Macaca mulatta: one gene and its partners. The protein of the gene in region 3 purifies or fractionates together with the protein of the main gene of each other region. This does not show direct contact. Links are inferred from orthologs where the notes say so. Each region holds a gene or a part of one and is shown on either strand. Other genes may lie near its edges. The genes, in order: EEF1B2, TUBB, EEF1A1, SNW1, RBX1, EEF2 and GAPDH.

Region 1 (4,115 bases), on a different chromosome or scaffold from region 3:
GCAGTGACCTCGGACTGAAATGTTCTTCCCTGGCCCCTCCTTATCCTTCAAATCTTGGCTTCGAAGCCTTTTCTCAGTTTCATTGACCAGCCTATCTAACATTTCCTGACGATTCCCCAGAATATCACCCATTTTATTCTTCTTTACGGACTCATTTCTGGCTCGTAGTAAACGTTCAGTAACTGTTAAGTGAACTGAATCTCTAATTTCTGGTCGTTAATTTGTAGGGACCACTTTCCCGGATTTAAAAAGTGCAGGTGCTCTGGCAGCGTTAAGTCGGTGAAAACAAGACTATTCCGCAAAACAAAAATAACCTGTTTATTCATCAAAAAGTTATTGTTACACTTCTATACTGTCAATTCGTGTGTGAAGTTGTGTCTGATCCAAGACCTCACAGTACAAGCATAGATCCCAATAACTTGTAAACAATATTTTGTTATTCGCAATGCAACCCTGAGCTAACTTTTCAAAAAGTCATTTTTCTCAATTTCCCGTTAGTGAAAGGAATTTAAAAATTCTGTCCAACGTGGTCAATGGACAAAACAAATAAGGACAACAGAAGCGTGAGCCACTGCTAACACAACAGCGACCAAACAATCATGTACTGTACCAGGCGTGTAAAAATCTGGGGGAAAAGGCTCAGTCTTAAGGCTTAAGTCATCGGACACTGGTCCTCTACCGGGGAATAAAACGGCCTCCTCTGAGAGGGGAATGTCCTGAATTTTCCCTGCAGAGGGAAGGTCACCTACAAGCCCGCATTCGGGCCAGCGCTCCCGAGGGCCCCCTAATCCTCATCTTCCTTTCTGCTCCATCAGACCAGAGACCGTGGCTAAAAGCCCCACTTGCCGGCTCTCAGAGGCTTCCGAGGCGGCGGGGCGGGAGGCGGCTCCCAGTCAAGGACAAGAGAAGACTAAGTCGCGTGGGCCAAAGGAAACAGTCCCGTCAATAAATAAGCCTCTGACCCATGCACCTCACCCTTCCCATCCATACAAGACCTCACCTTCTCCCCGGAGCCGCGGAGGCTGTTCTGCTAAACTGTCTGGACCACAACTACCCCCTTGGAGGCCGGGTCGCTTACTCAATATGGCGGCCTCAGCTAACTCTGTCAGCCGGGCCTGGAGAACGGAAAGCCCGGAGGGACTAGAATCCTTGCATTCGATAAGTTTGTCGGCAATTTCCGTCAGCCGACCAGAGGGCGGAGCTGAGGTCGGCCCAGCCCGGAGGCGGGAAGGACAACTTGGACCCGCAGTTCCGCCGGAAGTGGCCGGCAGCCTCGAGGCCGAGCGTCTTCGGTCATCTCCGGCGCTTCTAGGGGCGGTTCCCGTCATCTTCGGGAGCCGTGGAGGTATGAACTTAAGACATGCCCATTTTATTAATTTATTTCCAAACGCAACGAAAGATCCAGGGACAATTTGTGAGCCGTTTAATTCAGGGCCCCCAATTCGTACGTGGAGAAGTGGGAATGCTAACGTACTTTGACCTTTAACCTTCGGTCCGGCGTGGTGGAGGGAAACGCCTCCGTCTCTATATAAGGAATTTTCCGGCTTCTCCGGGCCCTTTTTCCTCTCTTAAGCGCGGGGAGCCCACAACTTGTGCGCTCTCTTTCTGCTGTTTCCCAGCTCTCGGATACAGCCGACACCATGGGTTTCGGAGACCTGAAAAGCCCCGCCGGCCTCCAGGTGCTCAACGATTACCTGGCGGACAAGAGCTACATCGAGGGGTGAGCGGACCGGCTGAGTCGGGGTGGTGGAGGGGTTTCTGGGACCGGGGCCGGGGCCACGTGGCGCAGCGTGTCGGCTGCCGCTGGAGGGAGGGAGACGGGGCCCCAGGGCCCTTTCGAGGATGACGGGAAAGCGCCCCGTGGCCATCTCCCAAGGCCCTCGTGTGGTGCGAGCCCGGCCTCCGGGGAGCGGCTCACGAGCAAAGGAAGGTTAAAATGTGCTTTATTTACACTTAATTCAGCCAGGTGTTTCCACATCGCTGCCCAGTTAATACATGTTAGGTTGTAGATAGAGCAACGTTAGAGATTGCAGTATTTGAGGTCTGCAGACATTTCTCAGGATAGCGCGGTGACCCAAACATATGGTTTGATTTTAAGGAGATAATAAGAAAAGAAAAGCATTAAAGCAACCCTACTGGAGTTAGTGCCCACTAATTAATGTGATGCATAGGCACTGATTATTTATTCGCTGGCGTTTGTTTTTCAAAGGTGTGTGTGAATGTCTCTGTGTCATTGGCAGGTATGTGCCATCACAAGCAGATGTGGCAGTATTTGAAGCCGTGTCCGGGCCACCGCCTGCTGACTTGTGTCATGCCCTACGTTGGTATAATCACATCAAGTCCTACGAAAAGGAAAAGGCCAGGTAAAATCATCTTTGTATCTAGCTGAAGAATAAGACTACTCTCGAAGCTTTATCAGGATGTTCACATGACAAAACTAGACCCAGGCTACTTTAGTTTTGTTGGGGTATTGTAAGCTAAATTTTTCTGTAACCTGAGAAGGCCAAGAGACTGAAGCCCTCCATTTTTTCACAGAACAGGTAGAACATGGACAGCAGCAATTCAACTTTTCCCCACACTGCCCTGCCAATGTGCCTCGACCTTGACCTGGGGGGCCCACCTCTGGGGTGAGAGGGTGGCTCATTCATTCAGTCCTTGGCCATTCTTCTGAAACTGCCAACAAGGGTGGAAGTTTGGGGAAGTGGACTCCAGTTCACTAAGAATGGAACTGAGCATACTTAATGAAATCTCAAACAGAAATGTTCATACTGAAAGAGTAAATCATAGTGAGTATTGAAAATAATGTCTCACATGGTACTAATGCTTGTCGGGTGAGGAGTTGAACATATGATAGTGTTTACCTGGGAGCATGTGAAAGGGTAAATTATTATTGCAAAAGGGATCTAGTGATAAGTAGTGATTAAAACAAGTTATTTTGTATTGTCTGGAAAAGTATGTTATACTAGCTCAATAGTGGTTGAATTTAAATGTTTTTCAAGCCTGCCAGGAGTGAAGAAAGCTTTGGGCAAGTATGGTCCTGCTGATGTGGAAGACACTACAGGAAGTGGAGCTACAGATAGTAAAGATGATGATGATATTGATCTCTTTGGATCTGATGATGAGGAGGTATGGCATCTTCTATAAAGAATATATCGGCCAGACACGGTGGCTCACGCCTGTAATCCCAGCATGTTGGGAGGCTGAGGCGGGTGAATCACGAGGTCAGGAGTTCAAGACCAGCCTGACCAAGATGGTGAAACCCTGTCTGTTCTAAAAATTTAAAAAAATGTGGCGGGTGTCTGTAATCCCAGCTACTCAGGAGGCTAAGGCAGAGAATTGCTTGAACCTGGGAGGCGGAGATTGCAGTAAGCCGAGATCATGCCACTGCACTCCAGCCTGGGCGACAGAGCAAGACTCCGTCTCAAAAAAAAAAAAGAATACATCGATCAGCAATTTTATCAATGTGGTTAAGCCAAATTGCCTGGATTTGAATCCTGGCTTTAACTTATATGCCTTTTTCAAATTCTGACTGGTTGCATGATGAATAAAATCAAATCACCATCTTTCGGCTGAGTTCGTGATGGATTTGCTTTTTTCTGATTAAGCCAGTCTTTTTTGTGATGACCCCACTAGCTTTAAGCAGATGACAACCGACTTTCTGAAGTGGATTAATTTTTTTTCTTTACAGGAAAGTGAAGAGGCTAAGAGGCTAAGAGAAGAACGTCTTGCACAATATGAATCAAAGAAAGCCAAAAGTAGGTCATTTGTTTTTAACTTCATTTCATGATAATGTAAGTAATCTTTTTCAAAGCTTGACCTTTAAGTAATTTCCTCCACATTCCTTGAACAGGTCAATATTTTAAAACCTCCTGTAGAAGTTCTTCCACAGCTACTGGTCTGCAGCTGTTCTTATGGTAGCAGTTGTGGCATTCCTCTGTGGGAAAGAAACTGTTAACACAAACACCTCTTTCTTAGCAAAACAGAAAGTGGGCATATGTGTGACAGACACAAGATGTATCTGTAGTTTTGTTTGGCTAAGGAGATAGTCAATCTCAAAACAAATTGAGGTGATTTGTTTGTGTCTTGGAGTAAGGTAAAAAAATACAGTTCATTAT
Region 2 (4,270 bases), about 40 Mb from region 3:
TTCACTGTGATGTATTCTCCCCCCACTGCCCCATAATGTACCAGCAACAGCAGGCACTACCTCTACCCTACCTCTACCCTCCATTAGATTTCAGAATACAGTTCTTAGCACTCCAGTACAACAATCATCTCCTAACTTTTGCTGTGTCCTTGCACCCAAATAAGTTGAACACGATAGTATATCATCTGCTAATATCATCTGTATAACTTACCAAATACAAAGTTGTCTGGTCTAAAGATCTGGCCAAAAGGACCTGAGCGAACAGAGTCCATGGTCCCAGGTTCTAGATCCACCAGGATGGCACGAGGAACATATTTGCCACCTACAAAGAATAAAGTTAAGAGCTGTGAGATCTGGCAGAGGGAAAGGTTTATAGATACACTGGGAATGGAAGACAGCAGGGACCCAAGACTTGTTCCAGGTCCTGCCACCAGGTGGCAGCAGACGTCTTTGGCCCCGACGGTGGTTCACAAAAGGGAGAAAATGATAGATTCACCGAAAGGGGATAAGGCGTGCCAGGAATGGAAAGAGACCCCAGAGAAGTGGGAGACAGGGAAGGGGAACCTGAGCTGCCCGGGCTCTTGCCCTTACCTGTGGCTTCATTGTAGTACACGGAGATGCGGTCCAGCTGCAGGTCGCTGTCCCCGTGGTAGGTGCCGGTGGGGTCGATGCCATGTTCATCACTGATCACCTCCCAGAACTGCCGGGCAGGAGCAACGAGACCACAAGTCAAGTCCCAGTCAACTACGTCCCCAACTACCATTTTATTTCATCTTTTTCTTAACTTTTTTCTTTTTTTTTTTTGAGACGGAGTCTCGCTCTGTCGCCAGGCTGGAGTGCAATGGCGCTATCTCGGCTCACTGCAACCTCTGCTTCCCGGGTTCAAGCGATTCTCCTGCCTCAGCCTCCGGAGTAGCTGGGACTACAGGCGCGCGCCACCACGCCCAGCTAATTTTTTGTATTTTTAGTAGAGACGGGTTTCACCATGTTGACCAGGATGGTCTAGATCTCTTGATCCGCCCACCTCGGCCTCCTAAAGTGCTGGGATTACAGGCGTGAGCCACCGCGCCCAGCTTCTTTTAATTTTTAAGACAGGGTCTTCCTCTGTTGCCCAGCCTGCAGTGCAGTGGTGCAATCACGGATCACTACAGCCTGAAACTCCCAGGCTCAACCGATCCTCCCATCTCAGCCTCTCGAATAGCTGGGACCACAGACGCGCGCCACCACACCCAGTTAATTTTTTTTTTTTTTTTTTTGAAGAGATGTGGCCGGGGGGAGGGGTCTCGCTTTGTTGCCCAGGATGGTCTCAAACCCCTGAGCGGGAGCGATCCCAATTAGCCCGCCTCAGCCCCACATCTCCCATTTTAATCCCACACGCGCTCAGGCCGTTGTTCTAGGGCCTGGCATCCCGTGTGCCTGCCACACCCTTCCCCTAGACACTCGCTCCCCCGGGAAAGCCACAGCTTTCCCGGCTCGGGATTATGTGCAGCGGGTCCCAAGTGCTCGGTGGGCGGATGGAGGTCGACCATACTTGGATAAGCGCCGCTGTTCTTCCCCCGAGCTGGGCACCGCCCCACCGCGCGGCGCACAAAAGGCTCGGGGCACTAGAAGAGCTGCTGCCGCAGTCGACCACCCCCCACCCTCCACGTGACTGCGGCGCACGCGCAGGTCGAGCCGCCGACAAAGGACTTCGCACGTGGGCGGGGCCAGGGGCAAGAATTCCGCGCGAGGGGCGGGGCCCAGGGTAGCGCGCCCCTCCCGGCGGGCAACGCCGCATTGTCCCCGCGCGCCAGCGGCGCCCTGGCCCCGCCCCGCAGGGCCCCGCCCTTCTGCTACAACGTAGCACCCGCACTTCCTCCCGCCCCTCCCCCGCTACACTGTAACCGCGCGCAAAAAAAAAAAAAAAAAAAACCCTTGGCCTCGGAATTTTATTCCTTTGCTAGATTTCTCCCCCTTGATTTAAAGCATTCTTTCTCTCCCATTAAGTCCTGAAGGACTCGTTAAAGAAAACCACACACCCCCATTTTCTCGACATATCAGTTCACGCCCTAAAGAGGTCTCGCTTAGGTGCCATGAAAGCAAGAAAAATTAATCCCGTTCTTATTCTCCTTCCACCCCGGAACAACTACAGGACCGGCCCTCCGGGGTCGCGGGCGCGCTGGGGTCCCTGATCTTTTGTGAATGGTAGCGCCCAGCGCAGCCCACCCTGGCGCATCGCCCCCCGACCTTTGCACTGGAGCTCTCTGCAGCCGCCCGACAGCCTCACCCCTTCCCGCTCCCGTTTGGCCCTAAGAACCCCGCAGGGGGGGCTGGGCGGGATGCACATGGGCAAAACCTCGCCCCGCTTTGTCTCCGACTGTTTCCGCATCTCTCTCCCTGCCCGGTTCTTGGACCGTTAGAAGCCCTTTTAAGTAACATATGTCCTTGGTCTTCCCGCCCCCGAAACCCGAAGAGCCCTTTTACTAGTTTCTCCAAAATGTGCCTGCCAAGAAAAATGATTCCCAGTTTTCCAAAAGCAAATGCTAGTTATTATATATATAAATGTAACAAACTTGGGAGGGGCAAAGCTTGATTAAGAATGGAGAGTGCAAATGCCCCACAACCATTTTTTCATAACTTACCTGGATTTTTCCTTCTAAAAAGAAATAAAAGAGGTGTAAAATTCTTACCTTGGCACCGATCTGGTTGCCACACTGACCGGCCTGGATGTGCACGATTTCCCTCATGGTTAAAATTAATTTTTTTTGCTCGCCTCAAGGTATGTATGGGGCAAGAAAATAAGTAATTTTTTTTCTCTGCAGGTCGCAGGCTGGAAGGTTGGAACGCGCCCCAGACGCTGGAGCAGCGAGGTGCGAACGCGGCGGCAGGAAGGTTCTGAGAGGGAGAAAGGAGAGGGGAGGGCGCGGAGGGAAGGCAGGCTGGGCGGGGCGCGCGTGCGCCGGGGCTGGGAGGCGGGAGAATCGGCCCCGCGCGCGGTCGGGAGACAAAGCCTCATCGAGCCTGGCCCTGATTAGTCGATGCCGGTCATGTACCAGGCGTCCATTGGCCTCTGAGCCAGTGGACGAGCGCAGTCCTCTTTGGGAGTTGTAGTCCCCTATTGTTGTTCACGGTGCAAAATGAAGTGACGAATGGGTGGGTACCGGTTTGGTTTTTGTTGGGTTTTTGTTTTGTAAATGAAAAACGACCTTGCGCAAGATTCCTTTCCTCTGTGCCTGAGGTTTTTGTACAAAAAGTGAGCAGTTCTCGGGGATGCAGGGATTGAGAAGTCTGGGGTTCCAGAAGTTGGGTGGTGAGGTACGCCCTAAAAGCTCCCAGCTGCAGTACCTCTAGGGAAGACAGAATTGCTTAGCTCAGCGAAAAATGGGGAGGAGTGTGGCACCGTGCTCTGCTACCTCTGGCCTTTGGTGACCCAAGTCATGAACTTAAGTAAGCTTCTGCTCTCTCAAATACTTCAAGAAGGGAATCGCCCTCTTGCTATTTCCTTGGAAATTTTCGAGTCATTGTTTTGAAAGAGAAACAAAATTGCAGCAAGGGCTTTTCAGGATAGAGATGTTGTCTGGAGAGTATGTTCAAAGAATAAAATAGTTTAGAGAAACCGACATCGGGGATTTGTGAAACTAGAAGTCTCCATCCACGTAGGAGATCTGGGCCTTAGGGCAGACTTTGAAGACACCTTGATCTTCTTGTCAAACAGGGAACTATGGAATGAGATGCCTGATAGATTTTCAGTTTTTTCAGCCTACCTTTTTAGACATGTTAATGAAGTCAGTGGTTTTTCAATTCGCTTATTTCACTGACCAGGTGGCCGCCATTGCAACTCTGCAAGATACCCAGTATTGAAAAAGGAGAGAGGGGAAATTGATGGGGGAAAATTGGATGGGCTCAAGACAGAGTCCACCAGCTTCTTCCCAGAGATTTATTCACTTATTTGATAGTTACTATGTATCCACCAAATTAGGAACTATGGTTACAAAATGATTAATAATTAGTTCCCTGTCCTCCAGGATGTTGCAGTCTGGCCACTCAGAAATGTAGTATCAAGTCAACATCATTGTTCATTCACATTCGATTACACACAGATCTATATATCTATATATATATATCTATATCTATCTATATATATATATATATTGTATTTTTGGTACAGACAGGGTTTCGCCATGTTAGCCAGGATGGCCTCAATCCCCTGACCTCGTGATTCGCCCGTCTTAGCCTCCCAAAGAGCTGGAATTACAGGCGTGAGCCACCGCGGCGGGCAGATCAATGTATT
Region 3 (4,021 bases):
TAGCCAGCACTTATTTGGCCTGGATGGTTCAGGATAATCACCTTGGAAAAAAAGATTTGCGTTCAGTGTAAATCCAAAGTCTCAAATGACTTTAGCCTCTGCAATAAGGTAGGAACATGTTACTTTAAAAATTGTTACCTGAGCAGTGAAGCCAGCTGCTTCCATTGGTGGGTCGTTTTTGCTGTCACCAGCAACGTTGCCACGACGAACATCCTTGACAGACACATTCTTGACATTGAAGCCCACATTGTCCCCAGGAAGAGCTTCACTCAAAGCTTCATGGTGCATTTCGACAGATTTTACTTCAGTTGTAACGTTGACTGGAGCAAAGGTGACCACCATACCGGGTTTGAGAACACCAGTCTCCACTCGGCCAACAGGAACAGTACCAATACCTAAAAATATTTACAGCATACTAAATACCTATGAAGGAAGATAGTACTCTACCAACTCAAATTCAACTTTGTTGACACCCAACTTACCACCAATTTTGTAGACATCCTGGAGAGGCAGGCGCAAGGGCTTGTCAGTTGGACGAGTTGGTGGTAGGATGCAGTCCAGAGCCTCAAGCAGCGTGGTTCCACTGGCATTGCCATCCTTACGGGTGACCTTCCATCCCTTGAACCAAGGCATCTGAAACACAACCATGCCAATTTGTGTAAGCATGAAATCGCCATTCCCAGAGCTTTTTAACAACGGTCTTGAAAGCCACTTACGTTAGCACTTGGCTCCAGCATGTTGTCACCATTCCAACCAGAAATTGGCACAAATGCTACTGTGTCGGGGTTGTAGCCAATTTTCTTAATGTAAGTGCTGACTTCCTTAACAATTTCCTCGTATCTCTTCTGGCTGTAGGGTGGCTCAGTGGAATCCATTTTGTTAACACCAACAATTAGTTGTTTCACACCCAGTGTGTAAGCCAGAAGAGCATGCTCTCGGGTCTGCCCATTCTTGGAGATACCAGCTTCAAATTCACCAACACCAGCAGCAACAATCAGGACAGCACAGTCAGCCTTTAAAGAAAGCAAAGACATATCCCTGTCAACTCTCCAAAGGACAAAACCAATGCACAAGACAGGCATTTCAGGGAAAAAAAAAAAAAAAAACAACCTAGAATTATTAATCCCACCAACCTGAGATGTCCCTGTAATCATGTTTTTGATGAAGTCTCTGTGTCCTGGGGCATCAATGATAGTCACATAATACTTGCTGGTCTCAAATTTCCACAAGGAGATATCAATGGTGATACCACGTTCCCGCTCAGCTTTCAGTTTATCCAAGACCCAGGCATACTTGAAGGAGCCCTTTCCCATCTGTAAGGATTAAGAGTTGTTACTTGGTTACTAACACACAAACTCCAGCTTCAATTTCTTTGCCCCCAGCCCTTAATTGGCACATAGTTTCCACTTTACAACTGCAAGTCCTAAGCAATTTTAGTCACTTAGATAGGGTTACAGAAGCAACCAAAAAGCAAACTTTTTAAAGTAGGATCTTGACTATTAATATCCAAATCGAAACTACTCACTAGCAATACGGTTACAGAAGTAACCAAAAGCAAACTATTTTAATAAGTAGGGTCAGATCTAAACCACTCACTAGTTCTGGGGAAATCACTACCACTTAATGATTCTGCTGGTAAAACTCATTTTAGTTCATCTTTCCCATACCTCAGCAGCCTCCTTCTCAAATTTTTCAATGGTTCTTTTGTCGATGCCACCGCATTTGTAGATCAGATGGCCAGTAGTGGTGGACTTGCCCGAATCTACGTGTCCAATGACGACAATGTTGATATGAGTCTTTTCCTTTCCCATTTTGGCTTTTAGGGGTAGTTTTCACGACACCTGAAATGGGAGAAAAAAACTTTGAACCACTGTCTGAAGCTTGAGAATAAGCCAAGATCCAAATTCGAAAAGGGCAAATTCCAAGGAGAATTACATCGAGCGCCAAGCTGGCCTAACTCTTCAGTCTCCACCCACCAAGTGTGGGGAAACTCCACCGCACAAAACCCCTCCCCCAAACCTAAGGAAGACGTACTCCAAAAGCTCGGAGAACTAATCGAGGTGCCTGGACGGCGCCCGGTACTCCGTGGGGTCACATGAAGCGGCGACCGAGGAGGGAAAGGCCCTTTTCCTTTGTGTGGGTGACTCACCCGCCCGCTCTCCCGGGCGCCGCGTCCTCCATTTTGAGCTCCCTGCGGCAGGGCCGGGAAGCGGCCATCTTTCCGCTCACGCAACTGGTGCCGACCGGGCCAGGCTTGCCGACCAGGGCGGGGCGACACACCGCCGCGCGAGGCCCGGCACCAGAGCAGGACGGCCAGCTTGAGACTCCCCCCGTCCGACTCTCGGTGGCCGCGCTCGCAGGCCCCGCCTCGCCGAACATGTGCGCTGGGACGCACGAGCCCCGTCGCAGCCCGCGGCCCCCAAAACCCCAATATCAGTGTGCAGATCCTGGTCCGCATTTATAAGATTATCTCGCCAGGAAAAAGGCGTTGCAGCTGGTCATCAAAAATTTTAAATGGCTAGAAACTTAGTGAAAGCAGCGGGGCAGGCGCGAAGGTGCTACCAGATTCGCACGCGGCAGCCCCAGAGCCCAAGCCAGGCCTCGACTCAAGCACGAGGCGAAGGGACTCCTTAAGTGCAAGGCCTCGACCTCTCCCACCCACTTCCAACCCGAAGCTCGGGATCAAGAATCACGTACAGCGGCCAGGGGCGTGTAAGTAATAAAAGGCACGCGAGGGCCATAGCCCGTAAAGAGGCCAGGCCCGCAGGAGCCACACACAGTACTTACCTGTGTTCTGGCGGCAAACCCGTTGCGAAAAAGAACGTTCACAGCGACTACTGCACTTATATACGGTTCTCCCCCACCCTCGGGAAAAGGGCGGAGCCAGTACACGACATCACTTTCCCAGTTTACCCCGCGCCACCTTCTCTAGGCACCGGTTCAATTGCCGACCCCTCCCCCCAACTTCTCGGGGACTGTGGGCGATGTGCGCTCTGCCCACTGACGGGCACCGGAGCCTCACGCATGCTCTTCTCCACCTTGGTGATGACGAGAGCGGGCGTGTGAGGGGGCGGGAACGCAGCGATCTCTGGGTTCTAGGTTAGTGGGAGTTTAACGACGGTCCCTGGGATTCCCCAAGGCAGGGGCGAGTCCTTTTGTATGAATTACTCTCAGCTCCGGCCGGGGCGGGGGGGGAAGAGGAGGGGGAGGGGGAGGCGACGAGGTGGCGGCCTGGAAGGGACGTCCAGAATCTTTCCTCTACCATTGCTAGCTTAGCCCCAAAGGTTGTGTTGAGATTAGGGTGTACCTTCGCCCCCCAATCAGCCTCCTGTCCTCAGCCTTGCTATCTCGCTAGTCCGTGACAAATCCCTAGAGCGTCGTCTTCTGCCGGTCTCAGCCCAGCCCCGGGTTGGCTCCTCCTCCGCCCCGGCTTCCGCGCCCCTCCCGCGTGGCAAGGAGTACCAGGCCCGGGGACCCCGAGGGGCTTGGGGCGAAGGGTCTGGACTGGAGGACTCCTTAACGGCTCACGGACCTGCGAGAGGTTCGGCTCGATGGCCGTGAGCTCGACGAATCCGCTCCTGTGCTGGCCTCTTGGCTCCTTCCATTCAAAGCCAGCTGCTTTTATCAAAGCCCGTAACACGTCATCTCCCCCTGGTACTCCAGATGTCCAGGCTTTCAGTTTAGAATAGACTCAGTCCTACAGTTAGCTTTAGATCTAATTCTAGTTTTGTTACGCCAAAAAGTTCCTGCGAGTGTGTGTGTGCCTCATGGTACTTTTTAAATTAAAAGGTGTACAGTCATTTGATTGCAAACATAAGGAAGCTAAAAAGCTTTCAAATTCAGATTTTCCACGTGATCTCATGTAGAGACTAAGATCTACAGCATCAGCAAGTTTATCCACCCAGTTTCCTAACCCCAACACTTGCTATGAAGTCACAGCTTCTCCTATTTAAATAAGTGCCTATTATATTTAAATAAGTGCTTTCTTTTTCTGTCATCCTATAGATTGTAACTGCATTTT
Region 4 (3,116 bases), on a different chromosome or scaffold from region 3:
GGGCTGAAATCTTGGCTTTCCCACCATGTGATCTTGGGCCAAATTGATCTACTATTTTATTTTTAAATTTATTTTTAATGAGACAGGCCCTTGCTATGTTGCAGGGTGGTCTTGAACTCCTGGCCTCAAGCAATCCTCTTGCCTCAGCCTGCCAAAATGCTGGGATTACAGGCCTGAGCCACTGCTCCTGGCCTGATTTACAATTTTTAATTGAGGGTTAGGGAGTCATAATATCAAGAAAGATGGTAAAAGGAATTTGAGGAGAAAACAAAAGAACAAGGTACAAATAAAAACTGCCTGAGTTATTCATACTGATTCCCTAATAAAAAAGCGATTTTCAGTTTGAATGTTTTTGCAAACATTGCCTTTCCTTCCTTACAGTGCTTATTTTTTTCAGGTCCAGGTTCAAGCTCAAAAGCCAAAAGTTCTGCCGACATCTGATGATGAAGAGAAAGATTTTTGAGACCGCAGCCTATTAATAAAGTTAACATAACTGAGAATTTTGTCTAAATGTTTTTATTTGAAACAAATAGTTGCACCAAGCAAGAGGTTACTTTGCCCACTCCAAATTAAAACAGAGCACAACAGGGGCAAAATTTATTTGGCAGGATAGTTCCAGTATGTGAACATCCTCCTCACTGTGGTTGGGGTAACTTTACTCATATGCAGCTGTTCTTACACAAAATATTAACCCCAAACTACTAGTGTCACACAAAAGGAAGTGGTCTTGACTTTGTATGTGGGGCAGCATGTTCTATAAATGCTGAAAGGTGGGAAAAGCACAAACACAACCCACTCTTTAAAAAAACTAAGTAATTCAAAGTAGAATTTTCTATCTCCCCCCCATTCTCCAGTAATAAAAAGTAGTGCTGGGATCCGACACCCAGATTTGTTTTTTATCCTGACCATTTACAAAGTGTTCCCCCGTATGACTTGCATCATTAGGGTAATGGGTAATAGTTCATTCACTATGAAGAGACCTGTGTCTACTCCTTCCTCCTCTTCTTGCCTTCATGCTCATGTTCCTTGGGGCGGCTGCTATCTGAGGGTCTTTTAGAGCCACCATGCTGTTTGGCTTCTTCCAAAAACTTGTCCAAACCAAAAGGATCTTCCTCAAACTGAACTGGTCCTTCTCGGCCTCTCTGTCTACGGTCTGAACCAGAAAACTCCTTGTCGGGAACAAATCTAGGGAAAAAGAGAAAAGACTATGAACTACTTTGCTTTCACCAGTGTAAACACTGAAATTGAGTTGTATGGATTGGTACCTGTTGGTTTTTATTCTGGCTTCTAGATCATCACCATACATGTCCTTGTCCAGATTTTTACTGGGCCTATAAATACTCTGGGCCATATCTTTACCACCTCTCCAGGCTTGATCATAAACATTATAAATTTCATCTTCTCCACCTGCAAATCCACTGTCCATACCCTGTGGAAAAATGGATGACATTAAATAAAAGTGTAAACACTTTATCAAAAGCTGAATCATAACATGTTTACAGTAAACCCTTGCTAATTTGTAGCTCACATTTTCAACAATCTGAACTGCAAATTAAAGGTCTTCATTAAAAAACTGCTAGCACATAAACTTCATAACTTTGGATTCTTTTTTTTTTTTTCTTCAGACGGAGTCTTGCTTTGTCACCCAGGTTGGACTGCGGTAGCGTGATCTTGGCTCACTGCAGCCACTGCCTCCCAGTTCCAACGATTCTCCTGCCTCAGCCTCCCAGGTGGCTGGGATTCCAGGCACGTGCCACCACACCCGGCTAATTTTTGTATTTTTAGTAGAGACAGGGTTTTACCATGTTGGCCAGGATGGTCCTGAACTCCTGACCTCAGGTGGTTGCCTGCCTTGGTCTCACAAAACGCTATATAAGCTCACTGCAGCTGCAACCTCCCTGTGCTCAAGTGTTCCTCCCACCTCAGCCTCCCAAGTAGCTAGGAGTACAGGTGTGTGCCAACATGTCCAGCTAATTTTTTGTACACAGGGTTTTGCCATATTGCCCAGGCTGGTCTTAAACTGGGTTCAAGCAATCTGCCTGCCTAGGTCTCACAAAGTGCTAGGATTACAGGTGTGAGCCACAGTGCCCAGCCAGAAATATTTTCATCACAATTTTTAAATGTTTTAAGCTTAAGCTTCTAACAGGTGATTATCTTGAAAATATTTTACTTACGTGAAATTTCACCCCTAGATCCCTTTGCTCAGCTGGTAAGCTGCCTTTGTATAGTGGTTAAGAAAGCTTTGAAATGCGCTGGGCGCAGTGGCCCACGCCTGTAATCCCAGCACGTCGGGAGGCCAAGGCGGGAGGATCACAAGATCAGGAGTTTGAGACCAGCCTGACCCAACATGATGAAACCCTGTCTCTACTAAAGATAGCCGGGCGTGGTGGCATGTGCCTGTGATAATCCCAGCAACTCAGGAGGCTGAGGCAGGAGAATCCCTTGAACCTGGGAGGTGGAGGTTGCAGTGAACCAAGATGGCGCCACAGTACTCCAGCCTGGGTGACAGTGAGACTCCATCTCAAAAAAAAATAGTAATAATAAAGCTTTGAGATCAAGACTTGAATCTTAATTCCATCAGTCACAAGGTAAACCTGTGTTTCAATTTCCTCATCTATAACATGAGAGAATAGTATTATTTCAAAGGATTTTTGTAAGAATTGAGATAATAACAAGATTTAGAACAATGCCAAGAATATAAAATGCACCTAATAAATTATCACTTAGAAGAGCTTACTTAAAACCTCCAAGTCATAAAGTTTCCCACTCCACTTTCCAGTAGAACTTACACCTTTGTATTCTTACCGTGTGTGTGTGTGTGTGTGTGTGTGTGTGTGCACGCACCCGCCTTGTGTTTTCCCAGGCTTAAAGTGTCCTAGTTAGCTAATGGCAATTGGTACTAGAAATCAGATTTCCTGACAGCCAGCCTAGTACTTTAATCCAGTTTTACAGCTTCATTTTTAAAAGATTCCCAAATTGACATATTTCTATAGCATTAAAAAAAAAAAAAAAACCCAAAAATGAACAACAAAAAACCCAAGAGGAACTTTTGTAGGACACTGGCTCTATTTTATTTTTTTGAGATAGAGTCTCAGTCACCCAGGCTAGAGTACAGT
Region 5 (4,135 bases), on a different chromosome or scaffold from region 3:
GGTATGCCTCCAGGACATCATAAAAAAACTACTCTATTTCAAACACACCAAAAGACTAGATACAGAAGACCGAGTGCTCAGAGTAGGCTTGATATCTGCTTGTGAAGAAGAAAATCGGTCACATCAAGATAGCCACAAGCTCTGCAACCTTCTCAACTTCCTCCCATCCTCCTCCAATTACTTACAAAGATCCATAATGTGGTTCCTGCAGATGGCACAGTTATCAACCACAATATCCCAGGCCCAGAGGGCTACTGCATTCCACTGCAAAGACAAAAAGAGGGAACAATGCATTCTCCTTATAACACACACACAGTTTTTAGGACTTCAGGCTGCAGTTGTAGTTATGATCTCTGGCCACAAGGAACCACCAAACAAAAGGTTTTGGATATTATGTTAATCTTATTATACCAAAGACAACAGTAGACAACACATACGTTCTCCTATTCTCCAAAAGACTGAGTATATGAAGACATAAATGAATGTCATCTTTTGTTTCCTGTAGTTTAAAACAATTTAGTCTGGCCGGACGCAGTGGCTCACGCCCATAATCCTAGCATTTTGGAAGGCTGAGGCGGGTGGATCACCTGAAGTCAGGAGTTCGAGACCAGCCTGGCCAATATGGCGAAACCCCGTCTTTACTAAAAATACAAAAATTAGCCAGGCTTGGTGGCGGGTGTCTATAATGCCAGCTATTTGGGAAGCTAAGGCAGGAGAATCGCTTGAATCTGGGGGACAGAGGTTGCAGTGAGCCGAGATCGTGCCACTGCACTCCAGCCTGGGCGATGGAGTGAGACTCCATCTAAAAAAAAAAAAAAAAAAAAAAGCACAAACTTGAATTTCTGTGCAGGTTTTGGTGGCAGTTGCAGAAGCGCTCAAAATCTGAATAAGTATCTGCTCTTCCAGGCAGCTTTGGAAGCATGAGCAATGAAGTGAAAGCTAGGGAACAGAATGAACTAAGATGATGACTGGATCATAAAACAGGTAATCGTGGGATAAGCTGGATAATTAACTGCCCATGTCAGTACACAGAACAAGGTCATCACTTAAATCTTAGATTACTTCATAACAAATTCTACAATTCACTAGAATTTTGTTCGATTCTTACCATAAAATAAACTGATGTTCTGAACTTTTATATGTTTAGACTCTTCTATTAAGATAATAATTCCAGGCCGGGCGCGGTGGCTCAAGCCTGTAATCCCAGCACTTTGGGAGGCCGAGACGGGCGGATCACGAGTTCAGGAGATCGAGACCATCCTGGCTAACACGGTGAAACCCCGTCTCTACTAAAATACAAAAAAAATTAGCCGGGCGAGGTGGCGGGCGCCTGTACTCCCAGCTACTCGGGAGGCTGAGGCAGGAGAATGGCGTGAACCCGGGAGGTGGGGCTTGCAGTGAGCTGAGATCCGGCCACTGCACTCCAGCCTGGGAAACAGAGCTAGACTCCGTCTCAAAAAAAAAAAAAAAAAAAAAAAAAAGATAATAATTCCAGTAAGAGTTTAATTAAAAGTGGCATTTCATTCATTCAACTCTGGTTTCCTCAATTACAAGTACTCCCAAACCTTCATCGCTTTCAAACCCCAGTCTCAGTGCCTAGTAACTTCTTCACCACTTTTCACATCACAGCTTCAACTTGGAGGAAAAGCCCCTACTTCTATTATTCTTCAATATGGCTGGCTGTAACTGAGCAGCAGTGGCCACAATGAGACACCAAAAAGCACTAGGAGGGGGGGGATATTGTCAGTGTTTAGCCAGATGTTCCAGGAATATCTTCCCTATTTCAGAATCTCCATTTCGAATAGTTTTCATGTTAGGTGGGAATCGACACTTTTCTCCCAAACTGTGGCAAACCACTAAAATGCATTTCATGCAAAAGACACGTTCCATTTTTGCTTTCCCCTCTTACCAAGTCATTCGCAACTAGTACTCAACCCTTCCGAAATGCCACAGGATTTGGGCTCGGATTTTCTTAACAAGTTCCACCGTGCTTTTTATTATTATTTCGGAAGGGGGAGATTCTGAACGTGACAGAGAATCCAAGAGTGGGGTGGTTGTGGGAAAAGCCAACAGACGTCTCAGAACACCCAAGCATTACACTCCAGACTCTAACTCGGCGGTGTGAGGCCCAGAGATGGGGTTAATGGAGGCCTCGGTTCAGCGAGGAACAAGTCTGATCCCTTCAAGTGAGAGGACCCCAAGCAAGCTTCAAAAAGGGGCGGAGCAAGATCACTAGCGGGGCTCCTCAGAGGCCTCCAATGCGGTAGGACCTCAGGTTCCAGGCTTTCGCCGCACTGCCCCATCCTCCACCGCCGCAGTCGCTCTGACTCCCCATTCCACCCACCCCACCCCACCCCACCCCACCCTACCTCACCCCACCCTACCTTCCCCCACCTCTCAACCACTCCAGTGACAGCTCAGGCGCTTGGCTCCCGCCGCCAAGTCGCAACCCCGCGTATCTCAACAAGCAGCTCTGTGATTGGCCCCTCAGCCTCACATCGAAACCAACACTTCCCCTGACAGTGGGCCGCCGTCACGCCGATCAACTCTAAGGCCCGCCCCCCGACTTCCTTTCGTGGTACCCGGTCCCAGGAACGCCCTAAAATGAAACCCTTTACTCCGCGCCTCGACCATCCTCGGGCCTGCCAGCCAGATCCGCGCCTCTCTAGCTTCCCTGAGGAAGGCGCTGGCGAGACCCAACCTTTTTCACTTCAAAGCGCTTCTTGCCCGCGCCGCTGTTGGTGCCGCTCGGGGTATCCACATCCATCGCTGCCGCCATTTTGGAAACACACGGTCTGTCGTCCGACCACCGCGCCTGCGCAGCAGCGCACACCTCGTTCCCCCAGCCTCCCCGGCACCTCCTCCCGCACCCCACCCCTTACTGGCGCGCGTGGGGGAGGTGGGGGCGGAGCACGTGACCACGCCTCTTAAAGGGGCTATCGCAAGTCGCCCCACCCGCGAAGTGTCGGCCGGGGAGGGGGCGGTGGCCGGAGTGGGTGGGGCGGGGCGGGGCCGGGCGGGGCCGAGGCTACGTGAGCTAGCCTGGTAGAAACGTTCGAAAGGGCTCGAGGTCGCCGCCTCCTCTGGGAAGCCCCCGGCCGCACTCCATCAGCTGGGGCGGCGGCTGCTTCCTCCGCCTGAGTCGGACCTGCGCCGCAGTCCTGTCCTGCCTACCGGGCTCGCCCGGTCGCCGCGCGACTCCCATTGCTAGCCGGGGTGGGCGCCCGCCGCCTGCCCCGAAACCTGAGAGCCCTCGCTGGTCTTTCGCAGACTCTGACCCACCTCCGAGCCAGGCCCAAGGCGCAGTCCGCGTGGGAGGGCTGGGGCCCAGGCACCGTCTGGTCTCCGATTTCTGTTCGGGAACTGCTCAGGGATCGATGGGGAGAGAGGAGAGCCCCGAAGGTCCTCCCTAAGGCCAGACTGAGCAGGCCCCCAGTGCTGCCCTCATCCCCCCGCCAAGCCTGGAGGGTGGCCTCTGCGCCCGCTTAGTCGCAGTCCTAGGACCGCCTTTGGTCGTGGTGCGCGGTTTCACCGTGGCGTGTGTCAGTCCCCACTTCTCATTCCTCAGTTGTCATCTTGTGTAGGGTGATTTCTCCCCAGTCTGTGTCCTCTTTCCGCTACTTGTGCTATAGTGAAACCGACCCATCTGCAGTCGCTGTATTTCTTTAATTTTTGTGAAGCATTCTTTTTGGGGTGTTTTTTTGAGACGGAGTTTCGCTCTTGTTGCCCAGGCTGGAGTGCACTGGCGCGATTTCGGCTCACTGCAACCTCCACCTCCCGGGTCCAAGCGATTCTCCTGCCTCAGCCTCCCTAGTAGCTGGGATTACAGGTGTCCGCCACCACGCCCGGCTCTTTTGTATTTTTAGTAGAAACGGGTTTTTACCATGTTGGCCAGGCCGGTCTCGAACTCCTGACCTCAGGTGATCCGCCTGCCTCGGCCTCCCAAAGTGCTGGAATTACAGGCTAGAGCCGATTTTTTTTTGTTTTAAATAGAGACAAGGTCTCACTCTGTTTCCCAGGCTGGTCTCGAACTCCTCGGCTCAAGCGATCCTCCCACTTCGACCTCCCAAAGTGCTAGGATCACAGGAGTGCGCCACCGCGCCCGACCCAAGCACCTGTACTTTGTGTCACTCTC
Region 6 (4,115 bases), on a different chromosome or scaffold from region 3:
CATTCCTGGCAAAAACACACTTCCAGTCCCCTCAGCTCAACTCCGCTCCCCGCCAGCTCCTGCGGTGCCCACTGCGGCGGGCACACCACCCAGCCAGGGAGGGCCGTACCATGATGTTGCCCATGGGGCCGCTCTCGCCCTCGCCATAGGTGGAGATGATGACGTTCACGTTCTCCACAATGCGCTGGAAGGTCTGGTAGAGCTCCTCGGGCTCCAGCTGCAGCTCCAGCAGGGCACGGTCCATCTTGTTCATCATCAGCACAGGCTTGATGCGCTCCGCAATGGCCTGCCGCAGCACTGTCTCCGTCTGCACACACACGCCTAGGGATGCAGGGCACGGGGCGGCGCTGTCATCCTCAAACAGGGAAGGCCCCGGGTTCTAGGCCCTGCCTCAGGGGGACCCGCTGCTTACCTGACACGCAGTCCACCACAACCAATGCACCATCAGTGACTCGGAGGGCAGCGGTCACCTCCGAGGAGAAGTCGACGTGCCCGGGGGAGTCGATGAGGTTAATGAGGAAGCCGGCGCCGTCCTTGCTCTGCTTGATGAAGTTCAAGTCATTCTCCGAGAGCTCGTAGAAGAGGGAGATGGCACTGATGGAGGGAGGGATCCATCAGGGGGACAGGATGCACACACCTGGCCCAGGGAGGCTGGGATCCTGTCAGAAGCCAGGCTGCTCCTCCCTCCATGACTCATCCCTTGAGAGGCTCCCACAAGACCCAACCCACCCACAAGACCCAACCCACCCTTGTCCTTTGCCTCCACAATACTCTGTCCAAGACAGGCCCCCCGCCCCCCCCACAGGGAACTCCTGGTACCAGCCCCACAGCCAGCGACTCAGAGCCCTCCTGACCAGACACTCTGCCCCACCGACTTGGTCCCCCCAAGACTCATCACACCTGACTCAAAGTAGCAATGAAAAGACCCCGCAGGACAGCAAAAGCCTTCAGAGACTCTGACCCTTCCCTCCTCACTTCTGCCCCTGCTCCAGTGAAAATGAAGAGCTTTAGCCAGAGACCCTCACTATGGTGCCAACCCAGGACAAAAGGCATTTGGGATCACTGTGCTCTGCGCTCACGTTTTAGACTCTCACCCCACTCACGTCAGGGGCCAGAAACTGTCACGGAATGAACGCCATCCAGTGCAACACAAGAGCTTTCCGCATCCTGAGTGCCAGAAACACCCCCCCTTCCAGGTGTGACAGCAAAACCCCTCCAGATATTGTAGGAGTGGCGGCAAGTCCCCCAGGGAAGGAGAACCACTGAGTGAAGCCCCTCCTCAAGAAAATCTTCCGGCTCGCAGTACCCCCAATCCCTGTGACTCTTAATCCCCGTCTCGCTGGACTGAACCTCACTCATTCTCCCATGAATTAAGAAACCAGGAGAAAGAGACGTTGCCTAGTCTCTCCCCGCCCACCCTGGCCCAGTGGCCTCCAGCTGCCAGGCCAGCACCTCCCTGCCTGGGTACAGAGGGCACAGGGAGCTCACGTTGACTTGATGGTGATGCAACGCTCCTGCTCATCCTTCCGGGTGTCAGTGAAGCGTGTCTCCCCGGCCCGGGCCGAGGCGATGATGCCCGCCTTGCACACCAGGGAGTCTGTCAGCGTGGACTTGCCGTGGTCCACGTGGGCGATGACAGACATGTTTCGGATGTTGGCCTTCTTGTCCATGATGGCGCGGATCTGGTCTACCGTGAAGTTCACCTGGGCAAGAAGGGGAGGCTCAGACCAGCTCGAGATTTCCAGGAACACGGCTTGGCATGGAGCGTTCGGTCCAAACGAACCAGCATGCCCAAGGCCAGGAGGGGACTGGTGTTGGGGTACCCGAAGCCCACCCAATCCTGCCAGCCTAACACGCCTTGAGAACTACCCCACAATCTCCAAGGATCCACTGTCAACAGATGTCATCCAGAACGGACAACCCAGAAATAAAAGCGCTCAGAAATAAAACTCAGTGGCAACAGATTTCCTTGATACCGAATATAAACACTAAAGAGTTATTAGAGGCCAAACACGTAAGGGGTGAACCTTCTCCCAAAGCCCCCTCCACGTTGTCATTGGGCCACCCAGGCTTCCCCGACCAAAAACTGTCATAATAAAATGCAAGGTCACCCCTCGGCAAGAGGGATCACACAAGGCCACCCACCCCAGGAGATAACGGGGAGCCGGAACGGCCCTAACAGCCACAAGCCTACACCTCGTGTCTCAAAACGAGTCTTTGCACATTTCGGAGTCACAAGGACAAGCGCCTAGGGCCGACAGTTAACAGCATCAGGAGAAGATATTTGGGAGGAAAAGGGGAACCTTTCAGGTGTCGCTTTGCTGGTTCTGCCATTTCCCTGCCGCCCCTAGTCCCCCGGCAGAAAATCGATCTCAAACTCGCGGCCCGCGAGTTACATAAGGCGCCTCCCCGTCTCCCCGCTTCCACCGCGGTGCCCGCCATTACAACGCCTGCCACATCATCATACCCCACCCCCATCCTCCCTAACACCCCAGCTCCAGCCAGGTCTGGGCAAGGTTACGGCGCCCCCGGAAGCGGAGAAGGGGCTCCGTGAACAGTGCGGCGCACAGACATGGCGGCGACCGCTGCCCCAGCCCCGGCTCCTCCGGCTCTGCCGCCGCTACGTCTCCTCCCGGCACGGGCGGCCCCAGCGTCTAGGCAGCGTCGGCCCCGCGGAGGTCCCGCCGCCGTTCCGGGACACCAGCGAGGCAGGGTTACTCACCATGGTGGCGGATGGCGGTGGATTCTCCCAGGTAGAACCGAATGAAGCGAGCCGCGCCGAGGATGGCGACGACGACGGCGGAAGAGAACGCTGACGTCAACACTCAGCACTTTATAGGCGGACGCCGGTTGGGCGGGTCATGTGACTGCGCTGCGGAGGCGGGGCGAAGCGACGCCGCGCAAGCGCACGGAGGCGTTCCCGCACACCTCCCCCGTTAACCCATTCGGCGCTGGCGAGGCTGCTTTAGGATACAGTCTGGGCGTCTCGGGGATGGTGGTCGCCCTCGGTATGCAGTGTTCAGGTGCACAAAGCAAAGAGCGCCGTTTTAGCTGAGAATAAGAACCATAGCAACGATATCAGCTTACAAAATGTCCAGCACTTCTATTAAAGCCACATTGCAAGGTGAATAGAGTCTGTGGATTTTACCCAAGTCAATTTCCCGGTTTGGGCGTTGTTATGTAAGCCGATATCCCTGGGAGAAGCAGAAGGAAAAAGGACACTCGCGACCACTATACTGTTTTTCAACTCCTTACCTGCAATTATTTCAAAATAAAAAGATTTATAAGAAGCAGGCATCGGAATCACTGATCCCACAAATGCATACTGAGCATCTATGCACCAGGCATTGTTAGAGGTTTTGTAGATACAGCAGTGGACAAAACACCTTGCTAGCTTGACCACACTGCGTGCACTTCTACTAACTACTAAGATTTCTCTTTGCCTCAGTTTCCTCGTCTGTAAATCGGAGGTGATCAATACCACTCTTGTTTGAGGTGGGCTAAAACGAACTAAAGACATCTAAAAGAATTAGCACCGTGCCTGATACCCAACGCTCAATAAACGCTATGTATTTTAATTAGCTAAGATTGCTATTAATAAAACATTTATTTCAGGACTGGTTTGCCATGTCCCAGGCACCCGGCTAAGCGCTTTACTGGCACAATTTCATTTTCTAGTTCATTTCCTCTCCAGGGGGAGGCGCAGGAAGACTGTTTAGCATTTGTGTCCTAATCTGACCCTAAGAAACAGTTGAATGTGTTTCATAGCTCATGAATTGGCATTCAATTGAGTATCTCTATTCCTTATGAAAAGCCCAGCCCGCTGTTTAGCACATAGTAGGTACTCAGTATTTCTTGCATGAATGATGTTCTCGCAGTGCAAATGAACCCCCTGCGGCACGTCTTTCCCTAAACTCACTTTGTGAAACAGAAGAGCCACTGCAGTGCTTTTCCTGGGCTGAGAGAGGGGGAGGTGTGGATCCACAAAAAGCAATGCAAATTCCAGCCTGGACTCTAAAATAAACCTGTACACTCCTCCCCCTCACAAATGCTTCGGGCACTTTGCTTTACAAAGCGCTGTCTCAACCTTGGTTTTCATTTAATGGATGATTGCT
Region 7 (4,030 bases), on a different chromosome or scaffold from region 3:
GGGGAGCGTGTCCACAGGGTGCCAGGCTGGCCGCTTCTCCACTGGCCCTGCCTTCCTCACCTGACGATCTTGAGGCTGTTGTCATACTTCTCATGGTTCACACCCATGACGAACATGGGGGCGTCAGCAGAGGGGGCAGAGATGATGACCCTTTTGGCTCCCCCCTGCAAATGAGCCTACAGCAGAGAAGTAGACAGTTATAAACCCGGGTTCTGCCTCTGCAGGGCTGAGCCAGCTTCCCCTACCGCGGGCCCTCCTGCACTCACCCCAGCCTTCTCCGTGGTGGTGAAGACGCCAGTGGACTCCACGACGTACTCAGCGCCAGCATCGCCCCACTTGATTTTGGAGGGATCTCGCCTATGGGGTGGGGGAGACAGGGATAGGACATATTGAGGGACACGAGGTTACCATGTACCCAAGGGAGCCGCACCACCCTAGCTGCCCCCCACAGCACATTTCTCCCACTGCCTTCCACTCACTCCTGGAAGATGGTGATGGGGCTTCCATTGATGACGAGCTTCCCGTTCTCAGCCTTCACGGTGCCATGGAACTTGCCATGGGTGGAATCATACTGGAACATGTAAACCTGGGGGAATACGCAAGGGTGTGAAGGGGCTGCCTGGCAGCCAGGTGGCTCCTCCCACATCAGCTTTGGGGCAGCACTCACCATGTAGTTGAGGTCAATGAAGGGGTCATTGATGGCAACAATATCCACTTTACCAGAGTTAAAAGCAGCCCTGGTGACCAGGCGCCCAATACGACCAAATCTAAGAGACAAGAGGCAAGAAGGCATGAGGAGGGGAGGCTTCTCCACAGTATGTGAGCTGCCCTAGGACACCTCTCCATTAAGAGGGCGAATGCAGCATCTCCTTACCCCCAACATCTCCTTACCTCCATTAAGAGGTGAATTGTATCTCCCTTGAGCTCCCCTGCCAGGCTGGCCTGGCTTTACGGCATGGCTGCAACTGAAGGCTCCACTGCTGCCTAACACCCCCCGTCATAGGAAGCCCTTCCAGGAGAAGCGGCCATGTGGGGCACTGCCACCCACAGTCTGGGCACAAGCTTTGCACGTGGCATTCAGCACCTCACTATGCCACCCCAGGAATGCTTGCTGCTGCCTAGCTCAGCCTCAAACTGCACCGTTTAAGGAGAAAAGATTTGTACACTCAGCATCACCAAACTCAAAGGGCAGGAATAAAGGTCAGAAATTAATTGGACAGGGCAAGCCCACCCCTTCTCTAAGACCCGCCTACAAAAGGGACAGAGATTGGGCCGGGGGAAGAGGGGAAGTTGTTTTTTAACCCCCTAGTCCCAGGGCTTTAATTTGCAAGCTTCTAGTCCTTTCCTAGCTCTTTTCCAGAATTCAGGAGTGGGAGCACAGGTGTGTGCATGTGTGTGGGAGAAGGGATGGGAGACGGCCCAAGCCCAGGCCCCCAGTTACAGAAAGGTCAGCAGCTATATTTATCCTCAGACCAGGGTGCGGTGGGAGATCTGGTTTCTGGAAGACGGAATGGGGAGAAGGGCAGGTTTCCCGAGGCTCCCAGACACCCAATCCTCCGGGTGACATTTACAGCCTGGCCTTTGGGGTGGGGTCAACGCTAGGCTGGCAGGGGAAGAGGGGGGCCATAAGGTGAGCCGCCGCTGCAGAAAGGGGCCACCGCCAGAGGGGCCATTTTGCGGTGGAAATGTCCTTTTCCAACTACCGATGACTCAGCTCCCCCCGGCTTGGCACCAAGCCACAGCCACCACACCTCTGGAGGGAGGGGACACAGGAGGACCTCCATAAACCCACTTCTTTGATTTACCAGAGAATTATCTAGAAAAAGCATCACCCGGAGGGGAAATAGGGCTTGCAGCTCAGGGGCCGACTTGAGAGCAGGGGCCGGGAAGCCTCGCTCCACCTGACTTCCCCGCCACACGCGACTCCACCCACCGAGGCAGGAGCGCAGGGTTAGTCACCGGCAGGGTTTCCTAACGGCGGCCCATTCATTTCCTTCCCGGTTGCAACATGGCGGCCGCTCTACCGCAGGCGCAGCCTCCGGACTGGGATGCACCCGCTGCGCACTAGCATCCCGGGGCCTGCGGTGCCGGAGGCCATGGGGGAGGGGCTCCTCTGCGACACGTGACCTCGCAGAGCGCGAAAGGAAAGAAAGCGTCCCCAGCTAGGGGTCCGGGTCGGATGGAATCTCGGGCGGGAGTAGGGACCTCCTGTTCCTGGGGACTAGGGAAGGCAGGCCCCGGGCAGATGGCGCCGCAAGGGCGGAGCTGCACAGGGCGCCACAGCCTGGGTGCGGGGCTCCGCCAGGTCCGAGCGCTGACCTTGAGCTCTCCTTGCCGGACGCAGCTACCCTACCCCATACGACAGCAAAGACCCGGAGCCCGCAAGGCTCGTAGACGCAGTTTGCGGGCGGCCCAGGGCCCCCCAGCCACCCACGAACTCACCCGTTGACTCCGACCTTCACCTTCCCCATGGTGTCTCAGGGATGCGCTGCGCGGAGAGAGAGAACAGTGAGCGCCTAGTGGTCCCGGTCGACACCCACGCCTCCCCTCCCCTCCCCTCCCCCCACCAGCCTCCATGCCCAGCCCGCGCCGCATCACGTCCTCCGCCCGCCCCTGCAATGCGGAGGCAGCCCGGGCCCGGACCCGGACCCTGGCCCGCGCCCACCCCGCAGCGGCGCGAACACGTCCGGCCCACGCCCGCTCCTGCCGCCTTCAGGCCCGTCCCTAGCCTCCGGGCTCCTCTCCGCCCGTCTTCACCTGGCGATGCAAGAGAAAATGCGGCTGACTCTCGAACAGGAGGAGCAGAGAGCGCAGGGGGAGGCTGCGGGCTCAATTTATAGAAACCCGGGGGCGCGGCGGCAGGCGGTGACTCTGACCCCGCCTCCCGCCGGGCTCAGCCAGTCCCAGTCCAAGGACTTGAGGCCTGAGCTACGTGCGCCCGTAAAACCGCGAGTAGCGGGGCCCTGCTTTCTCCCTGCTCTTTTTTTTTTTCCGCAGCCGCCTAGTTCAACTGGGCACGCATCAAGCGTGTGGGCCCCGACGGAGGGGGGAAGGGACTGAGACTGGCCCGATGGGAGGTGATCGGTGCTGCTTCCCAGGACTGGAGTGTGGGCAGCAGGAGACTAGGGAGTCAAGGACGGGGGCCCTTACACGCACGGATGAAACAGGACTTTGGGAGCGACTGAGATGGGGAATTGGAGCCCGAGCCCTGCACGGCTCGCGGCTGCACGCGGCCTGCCCCCTCCCCTTTCTTTCAAAGGCTGAGAGGCGGGAAAGTTGGGGAACTTCTCCTCGAGGCTCTGCGGTAGTGACACCGGAATAGCTGAAGCAAAGGGCTAGGAGGGGCCCGTGGGCCCTTCCCAGCCCCCACTTCCCCCTCCCCATCTCCTGGCTCCTGGCCTCTCTGGGACCGAGGCCTGGCCTGGGCACTGGGCAGTGGGGGCCTGGAGAGGAAGGAGGCTCGGGAGGCGGCTTGAGGGGGAGGTTTCTACACGGAAGGTCACGATGTCCTGCAGCCCTGTAGCTTGGACCTGATGATTAGGGCAGACAATCCAGGCCCTGTGTGCACCAGCGGCTCTCCCCGGGCTGGGGCCCCAGGCGGAGGACAGGATGGCTGGTGGGGGCCCAGAGGCCTCCCACAAAGTCACTCCTGGAGCCCCGTGGGCTGTGCTGCCTAGGGTGAGAGACAGTGTGCTTTTCACTCCATCCAGCCCGGGGCGAAGAGCGGGACGTGAGGGCGGAAGTGCCTCCCCGCCCTGGGACGTGCAGGCGAGCCAGGAGCCAGGGACTCCCCTTCACTGGCTTCGCTGGGGGATATTGAGGGCAGGGTGAGTCAAGAAGAGGGAAAAAGTGGGAAAAGAGGTCTTGGGCACATGGTGGGAACAGGCCCCCTGCCCCTTCCCACAGGGTATCCATTTCTCTGGTAGGAGGGCAGAGGGCCAGGTTTGTGAGTGTGGGATGGGAGCGTGCTGAACACTTGTAAGGAAGGGGGTGGGGTGGGGTGGCCTTGGCCCATCAGCAGGTGCATGGG

What was found.
Region 1: the proteins of EEF1A1 (region 3) and EEF1B2 purify together in Homo sapiens (affinity purification with mass spectrometry; 3 studies listed by BioGRID and IntAct, counting the BioPlex papers as one, with this or other methods). This does not show direct contact. The link is inferred for Macaca mulatta from reciprocal best matches to the Homo sapiens genes EEF1A1 and EEF1B2.
Region 2: the proteins of EEF1A1 (region 3) and TUBB fractionate together in Homo sapiens (co-fractionation; 3 studies listed by BioGRID). This does not show direct contact. The link is inferred for Macaca mulatta from reciprocal best matches to the Homo sapiens genes EEF1A1 and TUBB.
Region 4: the proteins of EEF1A1 (region 3) and SNW1 purify together in Homo sapiens (affinity purification with mass spectrometry; 3 studies listed by BioGRID and IntAct, with this or other methods). This does not show direct contact. The link is inferred for Macaca mulatta from reciprocal best matches to the Homo sapiens genes EEF1A1 and SNW1.
Region 5: the proteins of EEF1A1 (region 3) and RBX1 purify together in Homo sapiens (affinity purification with western blotting; 3 studies listed by BioGRID, with this or other methods). This does not show direct contact. The link is inferred for Macaca mulatta from reciprocal best matches to the Homo sapiens genes EEF1A1 and RBX1.
Region 6: the proteins of EEF1A1 (region 3) and EEF2 fractionate together in Homo sapiens (co-fractionation; 3 studies listed by BioGRID). This does not show direct contact. The link is inferred for Macaca mulatta from reciprocal best matches to the Homo sapiens genes EEF1A1 and EEF2.
Region 7: the proteins of EEF1A1 (region 3) and GAPDH fractionate together in Homo sapiens (co-fractionation; 3 studies listed by BioGRID). This does not show direct contact. The link is inferred for Macaca mulatta from reciprocal best matches to the Homo sapiens genes EEF1A1 and GAPDH.

The regions. Positions count from the first base shown.
Region 1 is NC_133417.1:111,412,107-111,416,221, forward strand, and holds the start of EEF1B2 (elongation factor 1-beta), read left to right. Parts: upstream 1-1,315; 5' UTR 1,316-1,640; coding exon 1,641-1,720; intron 1,721-2,240; coding exon 2,241-2,363; intron 2,364-2,999; coding exon 3,000-3,126; intron 3,127-3,529; exon of another isoform or gene 3,530-3,608; intron 3,609-3,688; coding exon 3,689-3,755; intron 3,756-3,881; exon of another isoform or gene 3,882-4,011; intron 4,012-4,115. UniProt on the Homo sapiens protein: Catalytic subunit of the guanine nucleotide exchange factor (GEF) (eEF1B subcomplex) of the eukaryotic elongation factor 1 complex (eEF1).
Region 2 is NC_133409.1:152,322,544-152,326,813, forward strand, and holds the start of TUBB (tubulin beta chain), read right to left. Parts: upstream 2,801-4,270; 5' UTR 2,727-2,800; coding exon 2,670-2,726; intron 1,628-2,669; exon of another isoform or gene 1,344-1,627; intron 701-1,343; coding exon 592-700; intron 323-591; coding exon 212-322; intron 1-211. UniProt on the Homo sapiens protein: Tubulin is the major constituent of microtubules, a cylinder consisting of laterally associated linear protofilaments composed of alpha- and beta-tubulin heterodimers.
Region 3 is NC_133409.1:112,151,338-112,155,358, reverse strand, and holds the start of EEF1A1 (elongation factor 1-alpha 1), read right to left. Parts: upstream 2,801-4,021; 5' UTR 2,788-2,800; exon of another isoform or gene 2,150-2,787; intron 1,842-2,149; 5' UTR 1,812-1,841; coding exon 1,668-1,811; intron 1,314-1,667; coding exon 1,134-1,313; intron 1,014-1,133; coding exon 717-1,013; intron 634-716; coding exon 483-633; intron 396-482; coding exon 139-395; intron 42-138; coding exon 1-41. UniProt on the Homo sapiens protein: Translation elongation factor that catalyzes the GTP-dependent binding of aminoacyl-tRNA (aa-tRNA) to the A-site of ribosomes during the elongation phase of protein synthesis.
Region 4 is NC_133412.1:150,938,364-150,941,479, forward strand, and holds the end of SNW1 (SNW domain-containing protein 1), read right to left. Parts: intron 1,430-3,116; coding exon 962-1,429; 3' UTR 501-961; downstream 1-500. Other genes in the region: SLIRP (SRA stem-loop-interacting RNA-binding protein, mitochondrial), read left to right, coding at 398-463. UniProt on the Homo sapiens protein: Involved in pre-mRNA splicing as component of the spliceosome. As a component of the minor spliceosome, involved in the splicing of U12-type introns in pre-mRNAs.
Region 5 is NC_133415.1:10,578,625-10,582,759, forward strand, and holds the start of RBX1 (E3 ubiquitin-protein ligase RBX1), read right to left. Parts: upstream 2,801-4,135; 5' UTR 2,780-2,800; coding exon 2,702-2,779; intron 265-2,701; coding exon 186-264; intron 1-185. UniProt on the Homo sapiens protein: E3 ubiquitin ligase component of multiple cullin-RING-based E3 ubiquitin-protein ligase (CRLs) complexes which mediate the ubiquitination and subsequent proteasomal degradation of target proteins, including proteins involved in cell cycle progression, signal transduction, transcription and transcription-coupled nucleotide excision repair.
Region 6 is NC_133424.1:4,793,804-4,797,918, forward strand, and holds the start of EEF2 (elongation factor 2), read right to left. Parts: upstream 2,801-4,115; 5' UTR 2,726-2,800; coding exon 2,723-2,725; intron 1,704-2,722; coding exon 1,489-1,703; exon of another isoform or gene 1,469-1,488; intron 675-1,468; exon of another isoform or gene 595-674; coding exon 413-594; intron 322-412; coding exon 110-321; coding exon of another isoform or gene 42-109; intron 1-41. UniProt on the Homo sapiens protein: Catalyzes the GTP-dependent ribosomal translocation step during translation elongation.
Region 7 is NC_133416.1:7,484,571-7,488,600, reverse strand, and holds the start of GAPDH (glyceraldehyde-3-phosphate dehydrogenase), read right to left. Parts: upstream 2,801-4,030; 5' UTR 2,758-2,800; exon of another isoform or gene 2,666-2,757; intron 2,489-2,665; 5' UTR 2,472-2,488; coding exon 2,443-2,471; intron 768-2,442; coding exon 668-767; exon of another isoform or gene 645-667; intron 587-644; coding exon 480-586; intron 358-479; coding exon 267-357; intron 177-266; coding exon 61-176; intron 1-60. UniProt on the Homo sapiens protein: Has both glyceraldehyde-3-phosphate dehydrogenase and nitrosylase activities, thereby playing a role in glycolysis and nuclear functions, respectively.